Arabidopsis thaliana: one gene and its partner. The protein of the gene in region 2 interacts with the protein of the main gene of each other region in a pairwise test. Each region holds a gene or a part of one and is shown on either strand. Other genes may lie near its edges.

The links. The genes of interacting proteins can lie anywhere in the genome.
Region 1: the proteins of UMAMIT45 (region 2) and AT2G39805 interact in a protein complementation assay, tested with the Arabidopsis thaliana proteins (one large-scale study listed by BioGRID).

The regions. Positions count from the first base shown.
Region 1 is NC_003071.7:16,609,377-16,614,284, reverse strand, and holds AT2G39805 (Integral membrane Yip1 family protein), read left to right. Parts: upstream 1-1,730; 5' UTR 1,731-1,931; coding exon 1,932-1,985; intron 1,986-2,458; coding exon 2,459-2,516; intron 2,517-2,615; coding exon 2,616-2,696; intron 2,697-2,883; coding exon 2,884-3,052; intron 3,053-3,382; coding exon 3,383-3,656; intron 3,657-3,874; coding exon 3,875-4,069; 3' UTR 4,070-4,386; downstream 4,387-4,908. Other genes in the region: HOS1 (ubiquitin-protein ligase), read right to left, coding at 42-217, 308-442, 728-1,118, 1,255-1,344.
Region 2 is NC_003074.8:10,454,336-10,461,509, reverse strand, and holds UMAMIT45 (nodulin MtN21 /EamA-like transporter family protein), read right to left. Parts: upstream 5,482-7,174; 5' UTR 5,360-5,481; coding exon 5,163-5,359; intron 5,080-5,162; coding exon 5,014-5,079; intron 4,886-5,013; coding exon 4,772-4,885; intron 2,741-4,771; coding exon 2,494-2,740; coding exon of another isoform or gene 2,353-2,493; exon of another isoform or gene 1,297-2,352; coding exon 1,135-1,296; coding exon of another isoform or gene 1,120-1,134; exon of another isoform or gene 1,057-1,119; coding exon 908-1,056; intron 824-907; coding exon 697-823; 3' UTR 510-696; downstream 1-509. Other genes in the region: UMAMIT47 (nodulin MtN21 /EamA-like transporter family protein), read right to left, coding at 6,439-6,580, 6,666-6,814, 6,905-7,066.

The DNA.
Region 1 (4,908 bases), on a different chromosome or scaffold from region 2:
CAAAACTGTTTGGATATCAATGAAATGAAATCATGGCTGACCTGCTTTGTTTTACCAATGTTCTCTCTCAGCGTCTGCACATCTTGAAGCTGAGGTGACACAGAACCCTTAAAAGCTGATTCCATAACTTCGAGCACACTACATATGCCAGCCACCTGTTTGGAACACCTTAGGAGTTTATCTAACCACGCTTGCATCTCTTTTGTTTCAAGATTATCTGAGGGCCAATATTAAAGATAGACAGACCTTACGGTGCACAAATATACAGTCTTAAGAAACATAAAAATATTAACAGCTAAAAGGATACAGATTTCTTGAAGTTCAGCTAAGGTGCTCCGGAATGTACGCTTGACCCAATCCTTGACAACAACTTCATCCAGCAAGAAAGCAATGACCGGATCACTAGATACAGCTGTCTCATCCATACAGACATTGGTGATATCTATTAATTTTCTGTCAAGGAGATGTCAACTATGCATCCAACATAAAATACCTCTTAGAGAATGAATGACAAAAACACTATGCACATTTCGCCCAACAGAGACAAGCATGAAACAAGAACTACCTAAAAATACATGAACCTATCAGTACAAAACTCCCCATATAAACACAGTTCCTAATAGCACAAGCATACGAATCTAAAAGAAATTCATGAAAGTATCAAACAGGAAACTAAAAGACTAAATGCATATATCAGACACCAAGCATAAATGCAACTGAAGGATACAATGGCAAACCACCGAGATCAAATTATTGTTCATAGCAACATCAAACAGAGAATAAAGGCGATGAACATCAGCTGCCAATTGATGTTCATCCTCATCCGAATCCTGTGACGCCTCTTCATGTGTTCGGGAAATCAAACCAGCTTCAACACACTCATAATAGAGACGAAGCCTAAGTCTATCTCCAAATTTTGGTAGCGTACTTCTACAGATAGGACAAACATCACACCTCTGACAACACTCTGTGCACAAGGAGGCATGACCACATGGATTCAACACATAGTTCACAAATCTTCCACAGCTAGCTAAGTCTCTTGTTGCACGACATCGCTCAACTTTTGCCTCATTACATAATTCTCTGAGGTTTATAGATGCCAAATGTTTCAACGCCTCCTGTAAGTTACAAACAATAAATTCGAAATTAACTCTAAGCTCTGCAAAACCCATTTTTTTAAGCTGAACCTAGAAATCCTAAGACCTGAGCTAAACTAATTCAGTGGAGAAATAAAAAGGTATAAAGCGGAAGAACCTGAACAGGCTTGCTACTGTAATTAGGCTGCGTAGGAAGAGATATCGATCTCGCGGCGGAGGCAAAACCGTTGATTTCTCTCGTATCCATCTACTCCGGTGACGAATACAAAAATGGAGGTAAAGAGAGAAAAAGCGTGGTTGGTGTTGGCGAGAGTGATAAAACCAGTCTAGGGCTCCGTTGAGCTTTCTCGGGAGGGAAGACGAAGAGAGGAAACACTGTTGAGTGAATTTCTCCTCAAACGGGTCAAGTCGGATTGTTTAATTCGGGTCAAATTTTAAATATGGGCCTTTCTTTTTGAAGTCTTGTGTGAATCTTGTGATTGTCTGGGCCCAAGTCGGCAAATCACGATTCGGGTCAAAATTTAAATATGGGCCTTTGTTTTTGAAGTCTTGTGTGAATCTTGTGATTGTCTGGGCCCAAGTCGGCAAATCACGTGTCCGAAAGTGAACAGCGCGTGTTTTACCGACTTGCTAAGAAAGCGCGTGGATCGTTCTTTCTTTAGTTTCTCTTCCTTTCCCAATTGCTTCCACGACGACGGAGGAGGAGAAGCAAACCCAGAAACCTTAAAAATTCAGAAAAAGGGACGACCTTTTTTCCGATCTTATCGATTTTTGAATGAGATTAGAAGAACCTATCTTCTAAGTTTTTCTTTGATATCTTTTTCTCTTTGATCGATGGATGAGTCGTTCGCTAATCTACAATCAAGCCATTTGCTTGGTTCAGTTCCGGTAAGTCTATATTACATCTATTGCTTCTTTCATTTCACCATCAATAAGCTCTTTGATTGAGTTTTTCTATGATCCTTGTTTGTGTGAAGGGAAAATTAACGTTTTTTGTTCATGCCATCATTTTGTTTGTTGTTCTGTCTCAAGTGTTACATTAGGAAGTAGAATTTTGAAACTTTTCAGATTTTTTTGTCATATTTTTTCGCGTCCACGATGATGCCTAAAGTCTTCACACTCATAGAACAATGGACGATTTCCTTATTTGCATTTCTGGGTTTCTATATTTGTTAAGGCGTTTTATTTAAGTTTTTTCACCATTTTAGGAGACAATTCGTATGAAAAACAAAACTGTATTTGAGTTTAAATGCTTGCATGATAGCTTCATTTTGGATTGAATCCGCTAAGATAAATGTTTTGAGTGAATGGATTGACTATCCCCGTGTTATTATGTCTGATACAAACATCTGTATTCTTAGGCTGTGATCAGCGACGACAAGAGAAGCACAAATGTACCAATAGCAAGCGTCAATGAAGGTGTGTTCTTTTGCTAGTTTCTGCTTGAATTATCTTTTGCAAAGAACTTTTCCGGTAGTGAAAGACATTGAGTGTTGTATGTCTTCTGCATTATTGCAGGCCCTTCTGCAAGCATGCAAATATTTCCACCGAATCTAGGAAACAATACAAAGGGTTATCAAACTCTTGAGAGCCCAACAGGTATATATGCTCCTTTTAGATTCCTTTTTTAGGAGATATTTTTATCTGTAGTCACCATGAATCAGTACAATGGTTGAAAGAATACTTGTGTGAGTCAACCTCGTTTTTCTTATGGATGTCAAGATCCTATATACCTTTGTTTTCACCTTGTTCTGTCTTATATGGTGATATATCTTATCTGCTCCAGTAGAAGGACCAGCACAACAGCCATCAAACAACTGGAAGGGCTTTTTTAATGTCTACTCATATACCCAATACTTCGACGTGGACACGGACGTTGTTTTGAACAGATTAATGAGCTCTTTATATCCTACTAGTGGAGATTTTTTCAACAAGATTGATGCAAACCCTGATTTGTAAGTCTTTTAATGCCTTTTTCTCCTTCACTCTTCTTGGTGATTGTACTTACCATGAGAGAGTTCTTTCGAATTTCTTTAATCGGTCCATTGCTCAGTCATGCCGTTAATTTGTTACCGTTCTAAGTGTTATCTTCTGCACCTTTCCGAAAGCATGATCTTGCTATTCATTTACTCCTATGTTACTTCAGGCGATTGATTAAAATATCCTCATTTTCTCTTGGACAAATGAACAGAAAGCATCATAATATGTTATCCTCTAAAGATTGGCTAAAAGCTAGGCCTTTCACAAATTATTCTTGATTAATGACTCGTGTGTGCTTCTGTTAGGTATGGACTTGTCTGGATCTGCACTACGCTTGTGTTTGTGCTTGCTTCTCTCGGAAATTGTGCTACATATCTCGTGAAGAAACGAACCGACAGTAATGCTCCTTGGATCTTTGATGTGAACTATATGAATTTGGCAGCATCTATAATATATGGATATGCAATAATTGTGCCTCTGGGATTTTATTTTGCACTCCGTTATATGGGGTCCAAAGCTGATCTTCTAAGATTCTGGTGCCTTTGGGGATACTCTCTCTTCATTTTCGTTCCAACCTCTGTAAGTATCTTCAGTAACTTCGGTCTCTTTTGCTGTTAAAATTAATCAATTGATGATCAGTAACACTAAAGACAAATGCATATACTTGATACACAATGGTTTGGTAACTTCACTTTCAATGACCATGTACAATGACATAAATCAACCTAACTTGATATCACAACTTTATACTTCATACTGTTTAAGCATAATAACACTCAGGATGTTCTATTTTGCAGCTTCCATTGCTTATTCCAGTAGAGTTTCTGAGATGGGTGATTATACTCTTAGCTGGTAGTGCATCATCGTGTTTTGTTGCCCTGAATCTACGGTCTTACCTCGAGACGAACAATGATATCACGGTTGTAATGGCTGCAGCATTTGGTCTGCAAATGGTTCTTTCAATCTTCATCAAGGTCTGGTTCTTTCCTTAATCTCCATGAGACGGTCAACACCAGACAAAACATATATATGTAAAAACCTTTAGATTTTGATGTGCTGCGGTAGAACTAAGAATGTCGTTACCAGAAAATGAAACCCACAAAGTAGAAGAAGGAACATATCCGCTAAATCATTCGGTTTCGTTTTTACTGGCGGATTTTCATCGTTGCTTGTAACGATTGTGTTTTTTCATTTTTTGGTTTTGTTTGCTACCACTTATTTTGCTTATGGAGTAAAAATATATAAAAGAAAAAAAGGAAGTTTTCAAGATTTATTGCAATTTACTCTCTTTTGTGAAGAGTGGAGGAGAGTGTTGAGTTATGATTCTGTATCTTTTGGTACATTTTGTAGTCTTTTGAATGTGGCAGAAGATATCACAGAATGGACTATAAAAGTATAAACCTTTTTTGAGTACAGAGCATGTGAAGTATGAAAGAAAAAAGCCAAAATGTCACATTAGATAACCTGTGAATTATCTTTATTTCTCCTTTGAATAAAAAAATGGATAAAGTATCTGCGAGATTTATCATTTATGAACAGACTCGATTTACAGGTCAATCTTACTCGCTAATAAGTTATAATTGATTTGTTCTTAAGAAACATCACCAGCACTTACAACAAGAATCCTCAGACTTTTAGTTAATGAAACATGTTAGGTAGAATAATGGGCTGCGCAGTAGTTATGGGCCTACTTCACTGGCCTATTGGAATAGATAAAAATCACATTTTGGTTTTTTTTTTTTCTATCTAAACTCAAATATTGTTGTGTTCTAAGCACACATACAATATGCTCTAACGAAATCTTATCAAGAAAGAAATTTTTGTTGCAAGT
Region 2 (7,174 bases):
GTAATTAATAGGATTAACACGAATTTCTTACCTAGAACACAGATTGTCTCCCCTTCAATCCTTCAAACTTTGTAAAACAGCAACTAAAAACTTCAGATTCTTCACCGTAACACAATTTTGATTTTCGTTTTTTTCCCAGAATTCTAATCTCAATTATGTAAATATCTTACAATATAATCTATATTATAATAGGTAATCATGAGTTTTAGTTTTGTCAAAACTTTTTAGCATTAAAAACTTCTGAGCCCAACCAATTTTTAAAAATTTTAATTTCAATCTCAAGTGTCAAATTCGCCGAAACCCAGAAAATATTTAATGCATTTCTCGTCGATGAACAGTGTACGTACAAACCCGGTTCTCTTGGATTCCAGCGACGCGGTCCGTACGTACAAACCGGGTTCAGTTTCGTCAGGGCATTTTGGTCAGTTTTTGGCTGAATGGCTAAGAAATGAAATGCCCAGCCCACAGTGTCAAAATTTGAAATTAAAAGTGGGTCAACGGCTACTGTACGCAATTTACCTTATTTACTAACCATGGATATAGAGTGTCTTTACTTCATGGTTAAAACAATTATTCAAGTTATAAACAAAGCGCAACATGAAATACAGTAGTAATATACATGTACACATTACCCAAAAGTGTGGCTAAGAATATGTAAATTAGTTCTAATTTATTTTTAATTCTAATTTGGCCATTTTAGCCGTTCAATAGAAGAGGGGTTCTCTCTTTTCCTGAAACTAACAACAATTGATCTTTCTCTTCGTTTGCTTTACCCCACATCACAGCGTAAAACCCCAACGTTATCAATAGTCCTCCTATCAAACTGCAAAATGAAGCAAAAGCTTGAAAATGTTTTTGTTTATAAATGTGTATAATTAATGAAGACAATTGATGAGTGATCACATACCATCCGAGATAGAGAGAATCGTTGAGAAAAACTGCGCTCATAACCACCGCTATTAAAATCGACAAAGGCTTAAATATCGCTAAGTATAGAGGTCCTTTGTGACGTACTGTCCATGAATGGATCACATAGTATACTGAAGTAATTATTGCCTGAAATGTTTTATAAAATACTAGGTTAAGATCAAAAGTAAATATATTGGTAATCTTTTAAAATTATGTACAACGTACCATAGTTACAATTGTTATCAAAGTAATATCAAATCGAATGATCCAAACGCTTGGATTGTTCTTTTCCACTACTAGTCCAATCATTGAAGTCACGATTGAAACCGATACAATGTAGAGGAAGGAGACTGTGAATGCTGCTGGATATGTACTCATTATTTTTGCCTGGCCAAATACATTTTATAGAATAAACATTGAAATTATATATGCATGTTCAACCTTCTTTCAAAAAACAAAATTTGATATTTGATGTATGAAGATAGTTGATTAACTTCAAAACCCCAGCTATTTCCAGAGCTGGCTTTACGAGTTTCATGACTCCAAGCAAAACAATAATTACTAGGGCCTCTTATTAGTGAAAAATTATATATTTTCGGCAAAAGGTTATAATGGGACTCCAACTTCGCACATATCACTGATATTAGTACTCTTAGAATCCAACACTATCATGCGGTTGAGATGAATTGAGATGAATTTGAATCAAACAGGAAGCTTGTACAGTAATGGACGACCATGGACATATCCAATGGACATGGTTATCCTTCATGGATTTGGACAAGTTTTTGGACCATAAACCATTATGGACCGTTCATTAAACCCCAAAAAAAAAATGGTCCAAATGGTCAAACCTATTGGACGTTAAACGGACCACTTGACACCTTATTAGTCACTTTATCATACTCTTACATATATATATATTTATTTATTTCGACTTCAAACATGCTTGTCTTGCTTGACCCCATGGCCGCCTCTTCCTGTATGCCTATATCTAGTTTTAACATCCAATGTTTATGGTTGAGAGTTTTCTTCTATAGGTAAGTAAATAGTGATTGGTCTATGACCAACTCGATCATCGAGGGCCGGTCCTTAACTTTAAGTGGCCTCAAACATAACTAAAATATGTGGATTGGAAAAAGAAAAAAAGGATGAAAAGGAATGCAAAAACAAATAGAGCAAATAATATTAGTAAAAGCTCGAACTTGTGAATCGGGACTAAGTTATAGAAAGTCTAACCACTAGACTACATTGTGTGGTTTAAAACAGTTGCTTTCCTGCTTTATTGGCGGGCCAGGCCTGCCATCATCTATTGATTAACCTAGAATTTGATGGTACGTTGTTTTGTGATAGCACATGAGTTTTGCTGGTATGGGGTAATTCTTTACGGGTTTTTGTTTTCAAGTTAGATTCTCTATTTGGCCTAGGTTCGAGGATCCAGTGGGTTTACGGTTGAACTAATTTTCCTCGGTTAAGTCTGTTGTATTTTAAAAATTCTGCCTCCGATAACAAAATTAGTCTCTTTTGCATGGAACATATCCAACACTTTGTATTATTTCTATTATGTATAAGAACAAAAATTTGTACCTGGAGAATGAAAGAAACAGAAACAAAGATGTCTCTTATGGTAAGAAGAGCTCCGCCGATGAGCCAATCTGAATTTGAAGATGATAACGGCGGAGAAAGCTGACGGAAGTTTATATACGGCGGAGAAGATGCAACAAAGACACGTGGACCATGGTAGAGAACCACAACAAGTGCGCCTATTAACGACAATATCGTCCCCATCACTTTGGCTACACTGCTCCTTTCTTTGAAAGATACTTTTTCCATTCTTTATCCACAAATTAAAAATTTGTGTTATATTTTATGGATTCCAAAATAAAAAGAAAGGTATAAATAGTCAAAGAAAGAAGAATTCATACGCATCTTGTTGAAATGCAAACAAACAGTTTTTTTTTTTTTTTCAAACAAACAGGGATGCTGACATTTATGATTTATTTACCAACGTTTATATGCAAGCCTTTTTGTGGAGTTTATGTGTAACAGTAACTTACTTTTTTACTTTTGGGGTACTAAATTTCACAGTAAGATATAGAAAAATTCTTTCTAATATCCTTTTTTTGGTGTTCATTTTCAACTTTACCCTTATTTTTTAGCCATTTTAATTTTATTCTCTTTAAATTTTTAATTATCATTTTATCCATATTTAAAAATTGTTTTAGATTAATAAAATGAAATATTAATATTTTTTTCGCCTAAACTATTTCAAAATAAATTTCTCGCCAAAAGTTTCCAATCAAAATATTTTCCCGCCAAAAGTTTTTTTTTAAAAAACATTTTCCCGCAAAAAGAGTTTTTTTTTGTGGGTAATAGATTTACAAGGGATTTTAAAAGGGTTTTCAAAGATTTATAAGAGATTTTAAAAGGGTTTTAAAATATTTACAAGGAATTTTAAAAGAGTTTTAAATGATTTACAAGGGATTTTAAAAAGGTTTTAAAATGTTGACAAGAAATTTTAAAAGGGCTTAAAAAGATTTACAAGGGATTTTAAAGGGTTTTAAAAGACTTACAAAAGTTTTTTTTAAGATTTTTAAAGGATTTAAAATTGTTTTAAAAGTGTTTTGAAAGATTTACAAGGGATTTCAAAAGGGTTTTAAACGATTTACAAGAGATTTTTAAAGGATTTAAAAGGGTTTTAAAAGATGTACAAGGGTTTTTAAAAGATTTTTAAAGAATTTACAAAAAGACCCTTTAAAAACTCTTGTAAATCTTTTTAAAACCTTTTAATATCTTTGTAAATCTTTTAAAACCCTTTTAAAATCCATTGTAAATATTTTAAAACCATTTTAAAATCCCTTGTAAATCTATTTTCCGCCAAAAAATATTTACAAGGATTTTTAAAAGCATATTTTAGTTGAGAAAAAAATTGTTACAAAAAAACAAATTGGCGGGAAATTTGTTTTTTGGCAGAAAAAAAGTTTGGCGGAAAAATTTCAGTTTCCAATTACATGTTCCTATTAGATGAGAGTAATTCGGTCATTCTGTTCAAGGAAAGAGATATTTTGTAAAATGGACAACATAAAGAGGTATTGTTGCAAAAAAGTAGTAAAAAAGGTAGTTTTGCTAATCTCCTTAAGATAATATTTCTTAATATTTGATTTTTTGGAAAAATACACATATTAAGAAAACCTATTAAAAACAAATTATAAATGTATTATTTTTTATGATTTATATTTTTAATAATTCAAAATCAATAATATTTTATTTATTTTGGAGTTTAATATTTATCAATAAGAAATAATTAATATTAAATAAAAAGCTTAAAAATCAATTTTTTAGTAACAAATTTTTTCCTAAAATATTAATTAATAAGAAACATAAGAGTATTACTAATCAATACGTTTATTTATAACGGAGAATATTGCGCTTCAATAACAATTTATTATGTTTACTGTGGTTGTTTAATGCAACGTAATGATATAATTAAAGAGTTGGATTTATTTATAATTAAATTTTCACTACTCGTCGTTTACCTAATTCACTATACAGTACGTTTATACAGTATATTTATCTGAGATAGTGGGTAGCATAGCCGCATAGGGCAACTAGGAATTACCAAATTAGGAAAAGCTTGGTTAGCAAAATATATTGGTTTGTAAAACCTAACATAGTAACATGACCCGACTTTAAAAAACTTAATTTGGTGAACTAAAAAAACAATATTCAATTTTAAGTTGACTTATTTAGCCAATTGTGCCCGGGAAAGAAAATGTTTCGATTTCGACACCTGAACTAGAATAGTTTGCTTTTAGAACAATCTGAAATCTGCAAATAATTGGAAAAAAAAATATAGATATCAAACCTGAAGATAATGGCGAGGATGAAGGTAAGAGCAGGAGTGATATTGCTAATGGCAGAGGCTAAGGTTGGGCTGCTGTATTCGATGCCTATGTATCCTGTGATCACATACATTGATCTGTTCATTTTTATTGTCAGCCAAAACCATTTATTAGATTGTCCACCAAAAAATCACATGTTTAGCAAATAGGAACATAATTTCATACTTAAGATTGGAAAAAAGATTGCGTTAGTAAGAGTTTTTACCCTAGCAATCCAAGAAGTCCTATTTTAGAAAGTATTGACAAACTTAGTGGAGGAAGTGATCTTGACCTGTAAAGAAAAACAAAAAATAAATAAATGAAATCAATACCACCAAATGTTTATGAAAATAAACTCATAAAGTTACTAGAAACCTGTCGGTGAAGAACAGAGAAGGAAGAAGAAGGAGAGAAGCAAGAAGATAAGAATAGCCGAGGAAAGCGTAAAGATTGAGTCCCTTTGAAGTTGCTACTTTAAACAAAGTACTTATTCCGACTACGCCGGTTTCTGTCGCCAGCATGGCCGTCAAGAACACGGCCTCTCTCCGCCAGAGACTTACTGTCCGGGCCATTATTGGAAAATGATAGAAAGGTTGTATGAAATGTGATTCTTTAATTCATTATCTTTTTGTTGCTTTTCTTGATGTTACAAATATAAAGAATAGCATTATGTAGGTCCAATAATTATCGTTTGTTGACTTTATAATATTCTTTATTCTTTTGGTGAAAAATGAATAAGATTTATCGTTTTTACCAATCATAAAACGGCACTAAAAAGGACATAAGACTGTATTTTCATTTTAATATTGATATTTTATCGTTATTTTATATCATTTTTAATTAATATGGTATTCTTTATCATTTATTTTTTTTGGTAAAATACATAATATTTTGTGTTACTAATCGAACCTAAAACATCAATTTAAGTTTCCATATGTTGGAGTTGAGGAAAAGTGTTAACTCAGTATTTAATCTCTCTCTAGAATTTGAGAATTTATGTATGAATTTTGTAGTACAAGGAACAAAAGAAATCAAAAAGCTACACCTTTGTTTCCTTTTCCCAACCACTCTATACATGCTAGGTTCAAAGAAACTTAAAAAAAAATTAAAAGTATCAGTACAATTTTTCTTTCTTAAAGATCATTATTGTTGCAAAACTTACAATATAGTGATAGTAAAAACCGATAATGCAAGAATTTTAAAGAAAGTGTTTCTGTTTCTATAAAACCGTTCACCAAACTCACATGATCATGTTAACAAACCATTTAATCTCTCTTGTAAAAATATATATTTTCTTTTGTAGTCATTTCTTAAGCAAATGGTTGACCATGTATTGATCCTACCTCGTCCTACCTCTCCAGTGTTACTATCAGAAATATTTTCATTTGTTTTCCAATGCCTCTATTTGGCTGCTTAATTAACTTACAAATCTTTAAATCGATACTACTTAAAATCGACCAAAATTCGTTAGATGTCGTGATCTAACGAATTTAGATAGTCGTTACGTACCCGTAACTTAAAAAACAATTAGATAGTCATTTTCTAAGTTATATACAAAGCAATACACAGTATACACTAATAGTTTGCACGCTATGTATATAAGAGACTATTTCAGAGTTTGTAACTCCTTTGATTATAAATTTTTTTTCATTTAAATTTGGTCGTTTTTGCCGCTCAATAGAAGAGGGGTTTTCTCTTTTCCTGAAAATGATAACAACTTGTTCTTCTCTTCGTTTGCTTTGCCCCACATCACAACATAAAAGCCTAATGTTATCAAAATTCCTCCAATCAAACTGCAAAATGAAGGACAAAATCAAAAATGAACATAATGGTTTTTTTCTTTATAGATATGTGTATGAAGACTATTGATTAGTATACCATCCGAGATAGAGAGAATCGTTGAGAAAAATGGTCCCCATAACCACTGCTATCAAAATAGACAGAGGCTTAAATATCGCTAAGTATAGAGGTCTTTTGTGACGTATTGCCCATGAATGAATCACATAGTATACTGAAGTTATTATTCCCTGAAATAGTTTACACATATAAAATAAAATTAATGTTAAGATCAAAAAGAAAATATTTTGATAATTTTCTTTAACATATATATAACATACCGTAGTAACAATTGTAAACAATGTAATATCGAAATGAATGATCCAAATGCTTGGGTTGTTCTTTTCGACTACTAGTCCAATCATTGAGGTCACGATTGAAATACATAGAATGTAGAGAATGGAGACTGTGAATGCTTCAGGATATTCTCTCATTATATGTGTCTATCCAATAAACATTAAAATTAAATTAAATGATGTTTAATAAATGAAGATATAAACCACGTCAATTTGTGTAGCTTTCTCCAAGCAGTCTAGTTTGCTATGCATTCA